4 linked regions of the Callithrix jacchus genome follow. The protein of the gene in region 2 interacts with the protein of the main gene of each other region in a pairwise test. Links are inferred from orthologs where the notes say so. Each region holds a gene or a part of one and is shown on either strand. Other genes may lie near its edges.

The links.
Region 1: the proteins of NFE2L2 (region 2) and MAFF interact in binary tests that used the Homo sapiens proteins (3 or more experiments, as listed by UniProt). The link is inferred for Callithrix jacchus from reciprocal best matches to the Homo sapiens genes NFE2L2 and MAFF.
Region 3: the proteins of NFE2L2 (region 2) and MAFK interact in binary tests that used the Homo sapiens proteins (3 or more experiments, as listed by UniProt). The link is inferred for Callithrix jacchus from reciprocal best matches to the Homo sapiens genes NFE2L2 and MAFK.
Region 4: the proteins of NFE2L2 (region 2) and TNNT1 interact in binary tests that used the Homo sapiens proteins (3 or more experiments, as listed by UniProt). The two-hybrid records come from large-scale screens. The link is inferred for Callithrix jacchus from reciprocal best matches to the Homo sapiens genes NFE2L2 and TNNT1.

The regions. Positions count from the first base shown.
Region 1 is NC_133502.1:209,188,413-209,192,684, reverse strand, and holds the start of MAFF (transcription factor MafF), read right to left. Parts: upstream 2,815-4,272; 5' UTR 2,604-2,814; intron 1-2,603. UniProt on the Homo sapiens protein: Since they lack a putative transactivation domain, the small Mafs behave as transcriptional repressors when they dimerize among themselves.
Region 2 is NC_133507.1:52,139,391-52,142,949, reverse strand, and holds part of NFE2L2 (nuclear factor erythroid 2-related factor 2), read right to left. Parts: intron 982-3,559; coding exon 715-981; intron 95-714; coding exon 5-94; intron 1-4.
Region 3 is NC_133503.1:57,503,447-57,507,773, reverse strand, and holds the start of MAFK (transcription factor MafK), read left to right. Parts: upstream 1-1,487; 5' UTR 1,488-1,732; coding exon 1,733-1,771; intron 1,772-4,327. UniProt on the Homo sapiens protein: Since they lack a putative transactivation domain, the small Mafs behave as transcriptional repressors when they dimerize among themselves.
Region 4 is NC_133523.1:48,010,598-48,014,825, forward strand, and holds the start of TNNT1 (troponin T, slow skeletal muscle), read right to left. Parts: upstream 2,848-4,228; 5' UTR 2,796-2,847; intron 1-2,795. UniProt on the Homo sapiens protein: Troponin T is the tropomyosin-binding subunit of troponin, the thin filament regulatory complex which confers calcium-sensitivity to striated muscle actomyosin ATPase activity.

The sequences.
Region 1 (4,272 bases), on a different chromosome or scaffold from region 2:
GCCAGCCTCCCGTGAGCCCACACAGTAGGGCCCTCAGGCCTCAGCCATGTTCCTGTCCACTCTCTCCCAGGATCACATGCAAACGAATGAACAGACAGCCAGTTCTGCTATCCCTGAATGCTTCCCAAAGGGACAGCTGGGCAGTGCATGCCTGTGTGCATCAGGGAGGAAGTCTCCTGAGCCCTGAAGGATCTACTCGCTTTTGGGAGACTGCTTCAAGATTCCTCCAGCCCCAGCTCCGGCTCCTGTTTCTCTGGGGTTCCCAGGCCTTTTTCTCCATGTGTTGTGGAGCTCTTCAAGGTCAGGGACCCAGGGCTCATTCATTCAATCAGCAGACATCCAAGAAGCACCTACTGTGGTCCAGGCTGGGCCCTGGACACCCTAAAATGAGTCACAGTCCTGCCTTCAAGGGCTTCACAGACAACCACCACTCTATCAGACTCAGCTCACTAGTCACCTCCCCAGGGAAGCCTTCCTTGATTGCCCTGGCTAAGTCAGAGCGCTGTTACGTACTTTCAAACCACGGTCACTTCTCCCTCACATCATCCATCCCAGCTGTGTTTTGCATCTACTTCTGTGGATCTTTTTTCAACTCTATGTCCCCTGCTCAGCTGTACGCTCCCAGAGGGCAGTCTCTGGATCTGGTCTGTTCAAATCATCCCCGGCATCTGGTCCAGGACAGGGGCCCAACGGCAATGCAGGGCCCAGGGGTGACTGAATGGGAGGTTAAACCTCTCAGTGCTAACTTTCCATCTGGGACTGAGTCAGCCAGCCACTTCCCCTCATCCCCTGACCCCTGGCCCTACTTTGGAATGTTTCCTGCCCAGCTTTGAGAGTGGGCCTGACTGGTTCCTGTACTCCTGGCCCAAACCCCCTGACTCAAACCCCACCTACTCTTGGGTACCCTCAGCTGTCTGCTGTCAGCTCTGCTTTCTCTTCCACAGTTCCCCTGGAAAGTACGCTGTCTGCAGAGACTTCCAGAGCTTCCCCCTCCTACCCACCACCCTGCCACCCTGGCTATTACCTAGTTCCAGTGGCAGATGGGGACATTGAGGGTCCTGGTTGCTGTAGCAGAGCTCACCAGGGTTCAAAGATCCAAAGTCAAAAGATCATTGGTTCCTCACCCTGGCAAGCCCAACTGCCCCCCTCCCATGATTCTGTAGACCTGTGGGTGGGTGGAGGGGGAAGGTGGATTAAGACCAGCCCATCCTGCAGGCTGCCACACTAAACAGGTGCTTTCTACAGGGTTACTGGGTGAGTGGGTAGGTGGCAGCTAGGTCAGGCCCCATCCCTCACTCATTAACCCTTCCTGCAGTCAGAGGCCTGTCCCCACTGCCTGCTGACCCTGCCTGGCCAAGGGTGAGGACTCGCCTCTGGTTCAGAGCCTCAGCTAGCTTCCCGCGTCTAGCTGTAGGTCAGTCTAGTCTCACTAGTCCCACTGGTGAACCGAAGCTACCAGGAGGGCGAAACCGGCTCTACCCCATCCTCCGAGACCTAGTAAGTACAGCCTCTGGAACCTGGACTATCGAGAAAGCCTGGGGTCCTCTCCCTGCCCCCGAGCTTTGCAGACTGTTTTCTAGCCCTTCCTGTTCTAATGGGACTGAGGAGATGCAAAACCCTGGGGAGGAAAGACACTATGTTGGGTCATCCCTTCCCAAGGAGCCCCAAAATCTGGGGACAAGAACCTGGGCTCCAACTCACTTCGTTACCAGATCCACTAGGGTGCCAAGCAGGGAGTGGCTCACACCCCTCACTTCTAGCTCAGCTGGGTGAGGTCTTCGATACCTTGCCCCACCCTGTGGCTGCAGGCGCCGGCTCTGGGCGGGGGACAAACACTCGGGTCACGTGGTGGAGGCCCTGGGAAACTCCGAGGAGCGCGGCAGGCCGGGCATCCCTGGGTAGTAGGACTCGGGCGGCCGCGGCCAGAATTCGCACACCCGGCGTGAAGAAGCACGGGTCCGTTTCCTTCGCTCGGGTCCTTGTTCCGCGTTTACTCCTGTGGAGAGCCCAGGGCACGCCCTCTCCGAGGTACACACTGCTGGTGTACAGGCCCCAGGGAGCGCGCGCGCGGACACGCACACACAAGCACACGCGCAACACAACACAACACAACACACGCACACGCGCCCCCCGAAGTACACCGCGGACGCACGCACCGGGCAGGACACCCAGGCCTCCCGCCAGGGAACACACGTCCGCCCGCCCTCGGACGTAAACAAACCGCGCACGCACCGCCCGCGGGCGCCGGGCCAGGGCCTGTTCCCACCGAGTCACGTAGGAGCACAGCGCCCCCGCCCCCGCCGGGCGGACGCGGAGATCGCCAGCCTGCGCTGCCCCTTCCTCCCCGGCGCCGCCGCCTCCCCGCCCGCTCCCCGGGAAGGGGCCCCGTCTCCACCCCCACTCCGCCGAGCTGGCCTCGGCCCCGTCTCGGCGTCCCCGGGACGGCCGCTCCCCTCTCCCGCCCCCAGCCGTCCGATGAGTGACGGAGTCCCTGGAGCCCCGACGGATCCGGCCCGGGCGCCCGCTTCAGGCGCGTCCCGGGGCGCGGAAACCCTGCCGCTTCGGGGTCCCGCGCACCGTCCTCCTGGCCCCGCGTTCCTCACCCGCCTCTGGGCCCGCCTGGCCCGGCGCGCTCGCACGCGCGCGTCTCTCGGCTGTCCCGGCCCGCGCTCTGGTCCGTCTCCCCTCCGCTCTGAGCCGCAGGTCGCTCTGAACCGGGCGCCCGGGAGCGCTGCGCAGAGTTTTGTTGTGGGGCGGGCGGCGCAGGGGGCCGAGGCAGCGCGGAGTTGTAAAGCGAGCTTCCCGGAATTACTCACTCACAGGATTCCTTTCATTCATAAAAACCCAGTCATGCGGTGACGTCACCGCCCCGGCCGCCCTCCGGCCCGGAGCGGCCGCCTGGTCCCTCGGCCCCGCCCCTTCTGACCCCGCCCCCGGATGCCCCGCCCCCAGGGCCGCAGCGATTCTCTGCCCGGTTCCAGCCTTTGCTGGGTTCGTTCACGTGACACCTCGCGAGAGCCCGGTGGGTGGAGGTGTCATTGGTTCATTTTACAGTCAGGGGTCCTGGACCTCTTCTTTCGACCTACAGCTTCTGCCTTAATGATCTCATCTCATCCAGTTCGTGTCTTTAAATGTCATCTACGTGGCTGTAAGTCCCAGGTTTGTATTTCCAGAGCGAACAGCTTCTCTGAGTTCCAGACTCATAGCCAGCAACCCAGTCTGCGTCTCCAGTGGGTGTCAGATGGGAGACGACTGCAAACGACTCGGCCCAAAGCCTGCACCTGATGGTCAGTTAACTCCGCTCCCTACCACCCGATCTCAGCTGTTCAAGCCAGAACCTGGGATCCTGGCTCCATCCCTCACTTTCACTTCCTCCCCACCTGAGAACTCTAGCGGTGTTTCTGGGTCTCCTGCATAGGACCACTTCTCACCACCTCCAGTCCTGCCACTTGGTCCTGGCACCATCAGCTCACCCGGACAGTGGCAGCAGCCTCTGGATAGACAGGCTCCCTACTTTGCCTCCAAAGTCTGTCTTCCTACACCAGGCAATGTTCTTCTCAAAAGAAAGCTCAGGTTGTTTACACACCTCCTCTGGCCAGTCTCTCCTCATCCACCACTCTTCAGCCACAGTACCCTTCTTTCTGTCCCCCAAACATACTAAGCCCATTCTTGCCACAGGCCCTTGGCACTGGCTGTCTCTTCTGTTCACTGGCCTGCCTCTTTCTCATCTTTCAGGTCAGCTCAGATGTCACTGCCTCAGAGAGACCTTTCTGATCACCCTGGTTAAAGCAATCTTCACCTCTGAATTTTTTGTTGTTGTTTTGTTTTGTTTTCTTATTGTTTTTGAGACAGGGTCTCACTCTGTCACCCAGGCTGGAGTGCAGTGGCACAGTCTCAGCTTACTTTGGGGGGTACATCACAATCAGGGGAGGAGGGCCACATAAACATGAGGGATGCATGCTGTGATGGGAAGCCCCACCCAAAAGAGATGGCTTTGGAAGCCACATGGGGGATAGACGTTGCCATTCATCCCCCCCTTTCCTTTTCTCATGATGTTCTCACTGCCTGAAATTCCATCGCTCCCACAGCCTCTCCTGTGAAATTGACATCATGGCACTTATTCCACTGTGGAGGGCATAGGACCTCTCCAAATGGGAGGCCTCTGTGTGGCACCCTGATCACCAGCAAGGATCCCCACTTTCCTTGACATGGCGAATTCGATTTCAGAGCCCTTATCTTGCTTTCCTTCCTCTGCGCCTCAGTCTACCAGAC
Region 2 (3,559 bases):
TCACCTCATTGTCATCTACAAACGGGAATGTCTGCGCCAAAAGCTGCATGCAGTCATCGAAGTACAAAGCATCTGATTTGGGAATGTGGGCAGCCTGATAAAAGGGAGTAACACAAAAGAAGACAAAAATGATTATTCCATTGCCAAGCTAAATATTCATAATTGATGTTCATAAAATGTTTATAATCAAGTAAATATCTTATTTCAGAGATCACCTCAGGGCACAATTTGAACCAGACCACCTGGGTTCAAATCTTAGCTCCTCCAATTTTCTGAGTGATCTGGGCAAATTAACCTTTTTGAGCTTCAGTTGCTCATCGTAGATAAAATAGGGATAATGGTACCTAATTCATACAGTTGTGTTGATTAAATCAGTCAGTATATGTTAAGTTCTTAAAACAGTGCTTGCCGCAGTACTGTAAGTAATCCCTATTACTTGGTTCTACTGCCACTGCTTCTGTTGCTGCTACTTGATCCTTATAGGAGGTTTCTGAACTTTACAAAACTCTTTCTTGTAACTCATGTCCTCCTAATCCTCACAATAACTTTGTAAGATTAGTAGGTTTGGGTAGTGAACTCAAAAGTAGATTTGACAAAGTAAATAAAAGACACAGCGAAAGGCAAAGCTGGAATGCAAATCCAGATAGTTTAATTCCTTGGTCAGTCTTTACTTAAACCCTGCCATAACTTTCCCAAGAACTGAGTACTCTGTACCTGGGAGTAGTTGGCAGATCCACTGGTTTCTGACTGGATGTGCTGGGCTGGCTGAATTGGGAGAAATTCACCTGTCTCTTCATCTAGTTGTAATTGAGCGAAAAAGGCTTTCTCTTGCTCCTTTTGGAGTTGTTCTTGTCTTTCCTTTTCAAGTTTTTTCTGTTTTTCCAGCTCATACTCTTTCCGTCGCTGACTGAAGTCAAATACTTCTCGACTTACCCCAAGATCTATATCTTGCCTCCAAAGTATGTCAATCAAATCCATGTCCTATGTTTAAAACAAAAAGAGGAAGGAGAGAGACCATGGTTAAGATGGCAGATACCACATAAATTAATTCACATTATGCCACTGTTGATGGTGGGGAAATGACAAATACAATCTAAATGAGAACATAGGTCCAATGTTCTAGAAGAGCACAGTTAATTCCATTCAATGAATCTATTCATTAAAGACAACAAACAACCTACAAACACATAGTCATCCATTCTATCACTTGGATCATTAATGACTGGGTGATGGTAGAGGTCACTAAAGGGCAAAGTCACAAATGGTTTGAATTAAAAGAAATTCCACTCTTGTTTAATGGAAAATAGAAATTAGAGCAAGCATGCTAAGCCACTGGCTTATGAGAAGTAGGGTTTGGAAAACTCTACTGAGTAAATACATAGAGTTTTCTTTAAACTTTGCTCAGAAAATATCCAGTTTATAGAGGGGTAACTCCCAAGTTAAAAAGTGTCAATCTAGCAGTTGTGAAATATCACCATTCTTTCCATCTTTCCTACACTAGATTATCTTCTCCCATCACTGCTTGCTACTCTTATCTCTGTGGCTCACCTATTAAATAACTTCCTTTTTGACTTGAGTTTTAGTTGAGACATGAAAAAGTTTAAGACTAGGGTTGTCTACTGCTTAACAAAAAGTTGAGAAAGGGATGAGACCCCACTAGCTTCCTTCCTGAGAATTATCAATAATCCTCTTTACAAAAGTTAGCTGGGCATGGTGGTGCACGCGTGTAGTCCCAGCTACTCGGGAAGCTGAGGCAGAAGAATTGCTTGAACCCAGGAGGCGGAGGTTTCGGTGAGCCGAGATCACACCACTGTGCTCCAGCCTGGGTGACAGAGCAAGACTCCATCTCAGAGATGAAAAAAAAAAGGGACAGTTGCGGTGGTTCATGCCCTGCAAGCCCAGCACTTTGGGAGGCTGAGGAGGAATGGATTGCTTCATCTAAGGAGTTCGAGACCAGCCTGGGTAATATAAAGAGACCCTATTTCTACCAATGCGGGGGAGAGGAGAAACAAGTGTGGTGGCGCACACCTGTAGTCCCAGCTACTCATGAGGCTGAGGTGGGAGGATCACTTGAGTCCAGGAGGTTGAGGCTGCAGTGAGCCATGATCACCCACTGCACTCCAACCTGGGCAATAAAGTGAGACCCTGTCTCAAAAATAAATAAATAAAACCCTGGCTCCAGGGAAGGATCAAAAGTATTAAGTTTTAAGATACAGGAAGACTCTTACAAAGAGTGAAGGTTTTGATTTAGTAAAAGATACATGAGGAGAGTCTGGGCTTGGTGACTTATTCCTCCTCCTCCTAGGAGTTTGGGAGGCCGAGGCAGGAGGATTGCTGGAGCCCAGGAGTTTGACCTTAGCCTGGGCACCATAGTGACACCTGTGTCTACTAAAAACCAAAACAAATTAGTTGCACGTGGTGGTGTGCACCTATAGTCCCAAATACTAGGGAGGCTGAAGTGAGAGGATCACTTGAGCCCAGGAAGTCAAGGCCATGGTGAGCATTGCACCACTGCGCACCAGCAGCCTGGGTGACAAGCAAGACCCTGTTTCACATACAAAAAAAGATACACGGGGAGAGAATTCATATGACTAGGCTAGGCATAGGAACCACATCCAGAATTTCTTAACCACGTATGTGTCAATAGCAGTTTTTCTGATTTGTAATTTTTGGAAATTCTAAATTTCCAAAATTTAGTCTTTGGAAAAATCTAAATAGGTAGGAAATCTAAATCTGTTTCCATTTCACAAATCACCTATAGGGGAAATAATGAATTCGAGAATGGAAAAAAATCAAGATGAGGGAATGGCAGTTGGGACCTGAAGGCCAGTGGACACTGTGTGGATACATGTCACACTTTGTATTTCAGTTCTGCTGACAGCTGGCAACGCCAGGCTTACAGCTCTATGACTTTCATCTTCCCAAGGACACAAATAACATGGTGGTTGTTTCAGTGAGGAGTCAGGCTATTTTTATCCAACAGAGGAGCAGCAGGCCACCCAGCCTGGAGGCAGCACAGCTAGCTGGATGGCACAGGCCACCTGTACCCATGCCTGAAGGTTGGTGTTGGAATCTTAAATGCTATGAAACCCTGCTCATGGGGCTCCTCATTATTCTAGCCTTCAACAATATATAGTGTAAAGCACACAGAGTAAGCATAGTTAGTAGTCAGGTATACCTCGATAGGATACACCTAGTTATTTTTAAGCCAGTGTCTATTAAGGGCTTCCTATATGCCATGCACTGTTCTAAGTACTTTACATATAAAAACTATTCCTTAAAACAGCCTTATACAGATAAAACATGCCTGTTTTACGGTATAAGAATACTGAGGTTTAGAAAGAAGAGATACTACCAGAAAGCGGCTGAACAAGGACACACAGCCTGGCAGCTTCACTCGGGTTCATGCTTTATTAGCCATGAGCCTACACTAACATAAAATGGCATAGCATTTGCATGTAACCTATGCACATCCCCTTACAAACTTTAAATCATCTCTGGATTACAATACCTAATAAAGTATAAATGCTATGTAAGTAGCTGTTATACTGTATTTTAT
Region 3 (4,327 bases), on a different chromosome or scaffold from region 2:
TGCAGAGGTGTGATCTCGGCTGACTGCAACCTCCACCTCCTGGGTTCAAGCAATACTCCTGCCTCAGCCTCGAGAATAGCTGGGACTACAGGCGCGCACCACCACGCCCAGCTAATTTTTGTATTTTTAGTAGAGATGGGGTTTCACCATGTTGACCAGGATGGTCTCGAGCTCTTGACCTCGTGATCTGCCCGCCTTGGCCTCCCAAAGTGCTGGGATTACAGGCATGAGCCACTGCGCCCGGTACTCATCCCCATTTTTACATTACTGATTTGCCTGTTTTGTTTTTTGAGACAGGATCTCACCACGTCACCCAGGCTAGAGTACAGTGGCAAAATCATGGCTCACTGCAGCCTCGGCCTTCCAGGTTCAAGCCATCCTCCTGCCTCAGCTTCCTGAATAACTGGGGCTACAGGCACATACCACCACACCCGACTAATTTTTGCCATTTTTTTGTAGAGATGGAGTCTCATGATATTGCCTAGGCTGGTCTGGAACTCTTGAGCTCAAGCGATCCTCTTGGTTTGGCCTCCCAAAGTGCTGGGATTACAGGCTTGAGCCACCGTGCCCAGCTGGCCTTAAATTTTTTTATTTGTAGAGACGGGGAATAGGGAAAGGGAGGTTTCGCTATGTTGCCCAGGCTGGTCTTGAACTCCCTGCCTCCAGCGATCCTCCCGCTGGGCCTCTCAAAGCGCGGGGATTGCAGGTGCGCGGTGGGCCAGAGGCCCCCTCTGGCAGGAGAGGAAGGCGTGGCCGGGGGCGTGGTCGCGGGCGGGGCGGCATGACGTGCGCGTCGCGGATCCCGGAAGCGGTGTCAGATGCTGGGGAACCGGGAGGGCGGGCGCGGTGGCGGCGGGCGGCGGGGGGGGCTTGTTGTTCTTCGCAAAGTCTGAGCCCGAGCGCCAGGCGGCGGCGGCGGCTGAGGGGAGCGCCAGAGTGAGCGCCGGCGCGAGGACAGCGCGTGCCCGCGAGGAGCCGCCGCGCGCCCGCGCCACCCGCGCGACGCCAGGTGAGGGGCGGCGGGGCGGCCGGGCAGCCGGGAGGGGTCGCGGGGCCGGGCCTCCTGGCCGCTGAATCACAGTAGCCCCCGGCGCGGGCCGGGGGTGGCGGGGCCGGGTGCGCAGGGCCCGAGACTCCTATGCGGCCCACGGGGCGGCCCGCGCACCTGCTCAGGTGGGTCCCGCCCCGCAGGCCAAGGGGGCTTCCCCGGGCCCGGCGCCGGGATGCGAGGCTCCCACCCCTGAGCGTGCCTCCCGGGCCATGCTTGTGGTGCCCGGGGCCCTGGGGCGTGGACGCCAGACTTGGGGGAACGGGGGCCCCCGTGGGGAGGGGGCGCGCACCGGGCCCGCGCCTTCACACCTGCGGGGGGCGGGGCGGGCGCCACGTGCGGGCGGCGCGGGGAGGGCGCGGGCGCGTGGATTCCCCGCGGCTTCCGCCCCAGCGTGGCTTCCGCGTGCGCCCTGGCCTGCCTCCCGCGCTTCCTCCTCGTGACTGGCGGCGCTTCGGCCCAATGGCAGGGCCCACGCGCGCCCGGTGACGGGCTAGGGGTAACCGAGTCTCCCCAGAGGCGGGGTTCTGGGACTGGTGTAGCTCTCAGCCGCCCACCTGCGGGGGGGTGGGGGAAGGAAGACCTTGCGGGAGGCTAGAGGGGGCAGGTGACAGTGGCCCCAAGGCGCGTATCCTTTTGCCCACTTGTGGGGCAGGGGCTCAGGCCTCTTCCAGCTCCCACTGCATGGGTTCTTCTGTGCCTCTGTCAAGTTCAGGAAACTGTGTATGTGCCTGTGACTGTGTGTGTGCGTGCGCTTGCGTGTGTGTCTGCACAGCCTCTAGATCCGGGGGCGTGGGAGGAGGTGCCACCGAGGAACCCAGAAAGCCAGGACCTGGCCTGGCCTTGGCCCTTAACCTGGGTCTGCCTGGGGCACAGTAGTGGCCTTGAGCTGTGTGTGCTGTGTTCTCATGCTCTTGCCCGGTGTGTTCTCGGGGCCTCCTGTGTGCCTCTCTCTGGTCCTGTGCCCCTGAGCATGCTGTTGCTTGCTTCTTAACGCGGCTTTTGTAGCCTAGGCAGAAATCAGATCCACTGCACCATTCATTCATCAAGTGACCCACAGGCAGCCAGCCACTCTCTGGCCAGGTGCCTGGCCTTGGGAAGATCCTGAGACTCAAACCTCCCACCCACTGCCGGACACTGTGGGTTAGGGATATCTGTGTGGGATAGGGATATCTGTGTGGGCTCCGGCACAGCCCTTCTTGCCCCTCTGATTCTCCAGGGTAGGCTTCTAGGTTTCTGGACTGGCGTTGAGGTTTTAGCGTGTGTTGTAAAGGGATCTCCAAGACAGGGGGGTGCATGGTGCAGCTTCTCCAAGCCCAGCATCTTCAGGGACTTGGAGTGTTAAAAGAGCTGTGGGTGGGGTCTGGAGAGTGTGGGTGGGCTGTGCAGGTGGCTGGGACACACCTGCACCCTGTTTGGGCATCAGCACCATTTATGAGACCGTCTCCCCTCCTTAGGTAACCCAGCAGGAATGTGTGAGTTTGACCTTGGTAGAGGGAGTCTACTTTTAAAACTAGACCTCTCATTATTCCAAAATAAGCCATTTATTCAAGCAAAAACACAAACCAGGCTTCTCCTGCCTTTTAGCCTTGAACTCAACCAGGGCTTTGAGGGGCTGGTTCCCTGCAGTGTTGTTGACTCCCCAGGTGCCAGTAAACGGGGGGAGCCAGTGTTTACCGAGGGTCAGGGCTGTCGGGGTGCCAGCCTTTCTGTGCGCCTGGGAGGCTGCTGTGTTGGGCCACTCTGTGTCTACAAGGCGCGTGCTTTCATCCACGGGGCTCGCCAATGGCTGCAGCGTTTGTTTACAGTCACCGGCAAAAGCTGTTTACCACCCAGACCTAGAAGAAGTTGTGCCTGTTCCTGTCCCAGCTGTTTCTGAGTCTAAAGGTTTCTGGAGTGGACTTTCTGGGTTTCGGGTCCAGTCCACACGGGAAATGGAAATCTGGCCAGCTGGGAGAACGCTCTGTGTGGCTGCCTCTCCACAGTAAACAGTGACTCACCGCTCCGTCCCCACCCTCCTTGCTCTCCGAGAATGGAAGATGCTTTTCCCTGCTATTTATTTTTGCTTTTTATAAGTCACAGACTCGTCATGTTTCCGCTTTCCTGCAGTTTCAGGAAACTGGGAGTGTCGTCTTAAAATCGGAGTTTAGAGCAGGTACACATGAACCTGAGTGGCTACACACCCCACCCTGACCGGCCACTCTAGATGAGGAAACCCAGGCTGTGACATCTGCTGGCCTGGCCCCAGGGCTGGTGGGGTCTGGTCTAGAGCCTGCCTGCTTCTCCACGCTGTGCTTCGGGCACGTTGGGGAAAGTATTGGGGTGGAGGCTGCTCTCTCCCTGCCCTCCTGTGCGGGGCTGGCTCATCTCTTGCAGCGGGGGCTCGTGTAGGGTGTAGGGAAGACATGCTCCCTACTTCAAGGAGCTTACCATGCTGTGGGGAGGCCCCCTGTCCCCAGAAGGATCTAGAACCAGGCCTTGGTAGAGGGTGTTTGCCTTCATGAGGACAATGGAGAGTGTTTCTGGAAGAAGCAGGGCTTGAGGGTGGGCAGGAACCATGTGCTCAGTGCAGATGGTGGGGGGATCAGAAACCTGCCATGGCTTTGGGACGGAGGAGTTGGGGTTCCGGAGGAACCCCAAGCCTGTGTTGCTGCGTGTGGGGCGCCAGGATCAGGGTGAGGGCATCCCATTTGGCCAAAGCTGTGGTCTAGACAAGAGAAGTTGGAGGCCCGAGCCAGGGCAGGTGCCATGGGTTCGGGCAGGCAATGCTTGGGGATTGGGATCAAGCCAGGTCGGTGAGTGGACAAGGAAAGGAGAGAGGGTTGGGGCCACACCATTGAATGATGCAGTTGGGGGCTGGGGGGGTGCGTCTGGGCCCCCTGAAATGCCCCTGGTTGTACTTGGAGGCTGGAGGAGCTGGGTAAAGCCCCAGGGCGGTTGGGGAAGAACAGGATGCTGATGGGGAGCAGAGGCCGAGGACAGGAGGATGGTATGGGAGCTAGGGCAGGGACTGGAGCGGGTGTGTTCTGCAGTTTGCTCTCTGCTGCTGCAGCTGCCTGAGTCACCTCTGGATGTAGTGGGATGACACAGCTTCCTCAGACTACAAATGCAAGGTGACCAGACGTCCTCCAAGTGGGTCTGACAGTTGTGGCTTGCTGGAGGGCGGCCAGCCAGGACCAGGCTGCGAGCTGGTGTGGGCCAAGCTAGGGGTGCCAAGCGGGGTGCCTCCTGCATGCTGAGGGGGGCTGTGTCCAGAAAAGCTGGACCGTGGGGACTCTC
Region 4 (4,228 bases), on a different chromosome or scaffold from region 2:
CCTGGGTCTGAGGGAGGAGGGGCTGCGGCCTGGACTCCTGGGTCTGAGGGGGGAGGCGCTGGGGGCCTGGACTCCTGGGTCTGAGGGAGGAGGGGCTGGGGTCTGGACACCTGGGTCCGAGGGAGGAGGGGCTGCGGCCTGGACTCCTGCGTCTGAGGGAGGAGGGGCTGGGGTCTGGACCCCTGGGTCCGAGGGAGGAGGGACTGGGGTCTGCACTCCTGGGTCCGAGGAGGGAGAGGCTGGAGTCTGCACTCCTGGGTCTGAGGGGGGAGAGGCTGGGGTCTGGACTCCTGGGTCCGAGGGAGGAGGCGCTGAGGGTCTGGACTCCTGGGTCTGAGGGAGGAGGGGCTGGGGTCTGGACTCCTGGGTCCGAGGGAGGAGGGGCTGGGGTCTGGATTCCTGGGTCCGAGGGAGGAGGGGCTGGGGTCTGGACCCCTGGGTCCCAGGGAGGAGGCGCTGAGGGTCTGGACTCCTGGGTCCGAGGGAGGAGGGACTGGGGTCTGGACTCCTGGGTCCGAGGGAGGAGGAGCTGGGCTCTGGATTCCTGGGTCCGAGGGAGGAGGGGCTGGGGTCTGCACTCCTGGGTCTGAGGGAGGAGGGGCTGCGGCCTGGACTCCTGGGTCCGAGGGAGGAGGGGCTGGGATCTGCACTCCTGGGTCCGAGTGGGGAGGGGCTGGGGTCTGCACTCCTGGCTCCGAGGCGGGAGAGGCTGGGGTCTGCACTCCTGGGTCCGAGGGGGGAGAGGCTGGGGTCTGCACTCCTGGCTCCGAGGCGGGAGAGGCTGGGGTCTGCACTCCTGGGTCCGAGGCGGGAGAGGCTGGGGTCTGCACTCCTGGGTCCGAGGGGGAGGGGCTGGGGTCTGCACTCCTGGGTCCGAGGGGGAGGGGCTGGGGTCTGCACTCCTGGGTCCGAGGCGGGAGAGGCTGGGGTCTGCACTCCTGGGTCCGAGGGGGGAGGGGCTGGGGTCTGCACTCCTGGGTCCGAGGGGGGAGGGGCTGGGGTCTGGACTCCTGGGTCCGAGGCGGGAGGGGCTGGGGTCTGGACTCCTGGCTCCGAGGGGGGAGGGGCTGGGGTCTGCACTCCTGGGTCCGAAGGGGGAGAGGCTGGGGTCTGCACTCCTGGGTCCGAGGCGGGAGAGGCTGGGGTCTGCACTCCTGGGTCCGAGGGGGAGGGGCTGGGGTCTGCACTCCTGGGTCCGAGGGGGAGGGGCTGGGGTCTGCACTCCTGGGTCCGAGGCGGGAGAGGCTGGGGTCTGCACTCCTGGGTCCGAGGGGGGAGGGGCTGGGGTCTGCACTCCTGGGTCCGAGGGGGGAGGGGCTGGGGTCTGGACTCCTGGGTCCGAGGCGGGAGGGGCTGGGGTCTGGACTCCTGGCTCCGAGGGGGGAGGGGCTGGGGTCTGCACTCCTGGGTCCGAGGCGGGAGAGGCTGGGGTCTGGACTCCTGGGTCCGAGGGGGGAGGGGCTGGAGTCTGCACTCCTGGGTCCGAAGGGGGAGAGGCTGGGGTCTGCACTCCTGGGTCCGAGGCGGGAGAGGCTGGGGTCTGCACTCCTGGGTCCGAGGGGGGAGGGGCTGGGGTCTGCACTCCTGGCTCCGAGGCGGGAGAGGCCGGGGTCTGGACTCCTGGCTGTCTCAGGAGGACAGGCCCTGGTAGGTGTGGTCTGAGGCACAGCCCGGAGGCTGCAGACCCTGCCCCCCTCAGCACAGCTGTTCTCTTTTGTCTTATGACAAGCCCATGGGAACCTGATCCAGCTGGGATTAGGAGGAGGCATTTGAGAAGGGACAGTGGCCTGAAGACAATAGCTGCCCCACCCCCAGGAGCTATTTTGGGGGGATGTCGTAGATGGTGAAACAGAGGACATTTCCTAAGAAGGGATTTGAGGAAGGGGGGCTTCTGGGAGAGCTGGTCACCTGCATCCCTCTCCCACCCACCCCTCCCGCTGGCTGCTTTCCTCCCCACCTGTCTCCCCTTTCACCTTCCCATACATCACACGGGGCGGGGGGGTTGGGGCAGCGCCCAAAGGGCACCTTCTGTCCACAGACCTCACTCTGACCCCTACATTCTTAGACCCCGAAGTCTTCAAGACATCCTAGGCCACAGGGTGCCCATCCCCAAATCCCAATACCCATGGATTCTGAGACCTGGATTTTTGGTGCCTGTGTTTCTGAGACCACAAGTCCTCACAGCTCCAGATTCTGACAGCCCATTTCCTGATGGTCCACATATGGGCCAGGACATCCTAAGACCTCCTAAATTCTGAAGCCTCGAGAATATGAGACCCCCCCAAAACCTTGATACCCAAACTCGGAGGCCCAAATGATGACGCCCCAGATAATGACACTCCAGGTGGTGATGGTTTCTATCCTAAACCTCAGATTCTGAGGCTTCCACTCCTAAAACCCCAGATTCTGAGACCCCGCCCCAATTCCTGATACCCTCAGAGTCTGAGCCCCAAATCCTGATACCCAGACTGTTTGACCTCCAAGTCCAGATGTCCCTGACTTCTGAGCTTTCCCCCAAGACCCCCAGAACCCCAAGATCTAGGTGGTTTTATTCTGGGACACCCAAGTCCTGGCAGCCCCAGACTAGGATCTCTGTAACCCACAAATCCTAATATTTTCCCCTCTATCCCAAGTCCCCCTAAAGTCCGAGCCTCTCAAGTTCCGAGACCTCCAGTTGTATTCCCCATGTACCTCTGCATGATTTCTCCACACCCCACATCTTCCCCACCTGCCTCCTGCCCCCTCTCCCAAGGACACCGTCCGTGGAGATCACAGGGCCCAGCAGAGCCCCTTACCTATACCTAGGCTGCGTCTGAGATCCTGTGAATCTTGTGGCTGAGCCTCACCACGGGCACTGAAGCTCCAGGGGTTTTATAGCTGGAGGCTGGGCCCCGCCCCGAGGGGAGAGGGAGGAGGAGAGAATTCCTTTGCTCAAACACAAGTCTGGGAGCTCAGAGACAGCCCTGCTGTTCCTCTCGTTTTTCAAACTAAGGGTCCAAATGCCTCCGTGGGCTCCTCCCCAACCCCATCAGCGGGGCCCTGGAGCCCTGCTCCCACCCCCAGCCCCAGGCCCCCACGGTGCTCCAGCTACCTCCCTTATAGCTGCCTCCCTGCATTTGATGTCCCAACGTCCAGCACACAGTAGGTCCTTGGAGAACCTACTAATGACAAAAAGGCTATAAGGAATGTTTCCAGTTTTCCTCTCTGTTCCCTCTTTCTGGACCCGTTTCTGTGGTCTCTGTGGCTCTCCATCTGTGTATCTCTATATGTCTGTCTCTGCTGCTTAGTCTCCCCCTGTGTCTGTCCATCTTTCTGTCTCCCCACCCCCACCCCTTTGTCTGCCACCAGGATTCCATACTTGTGACAACAGGCACTAAAGCCAGGAAGCAGGTGTTGGGGGGAGGGGAGGGGAGGATGGGGTGTCAATTAGGGTGGAAACCTACCCTCTCTCCCCCCGTCCATCTGACACTGATCTTTTTTGGCATCCCCCTCCCTCTTCCCAGCCAAGCCACGACCTTGAACTCCAGGTTCAACCAGCCCTGGAGAGCAGACTTCCTCACCCTTCACGCCTCTCAGTGTCTGTCTCCTGTGGTATCAGTCTTTGTGTGTTTCTATGCATTTTCTGGGGTCCCTCGCTGGCTCTCTGTCTTGGGCTGTCTCTGAATCTGTCTCTTTCCGTGACCCTCAGTGTGTTTCTTGGCAAATGTCTCCAGGTGGTTTTGTCTCTGCATGTCTGCCCCTCTCTGCGTTTGTGTCTGTGGGGGCTCACAGTCTCTCTGTGCATTTCTGTCCACCTGAGACCCCATATCTGTGTGGGTAACCCCTTTCTGGGCACCAAGGAAGGAGAGCTAAGCAGACCCCCGGCACGATTAGTGCCTGAAGAATATCTTACTGCTCACTCCTCACTTATTTCCTTTTATATATAATCTCTTCATAGATAATCATGCCTTAGTTTGTAGTTGGAGGAATGTCTAGAGCAGACACACTGCAGAGCATGAACTAGGGAAAAACAGCCACACCAGGACAAGAATCAATGACCCAGGCGGTAGAGCCCCTGCCTGAAAGGGCAAGCGCTACGTGGCAGGTCTGCCCAGGTGGCAGCGTTCGGGTATGGTAATGACACCCGCTGTATGGCAGGCTTGCAGCAAGAGTCACTCCTCCTGAAAGGGAGTTGTAGTATCTTGTGCAGAGTTCTTGTGGAAAGCTGGCCTCAGGCTGGCAATCCCTC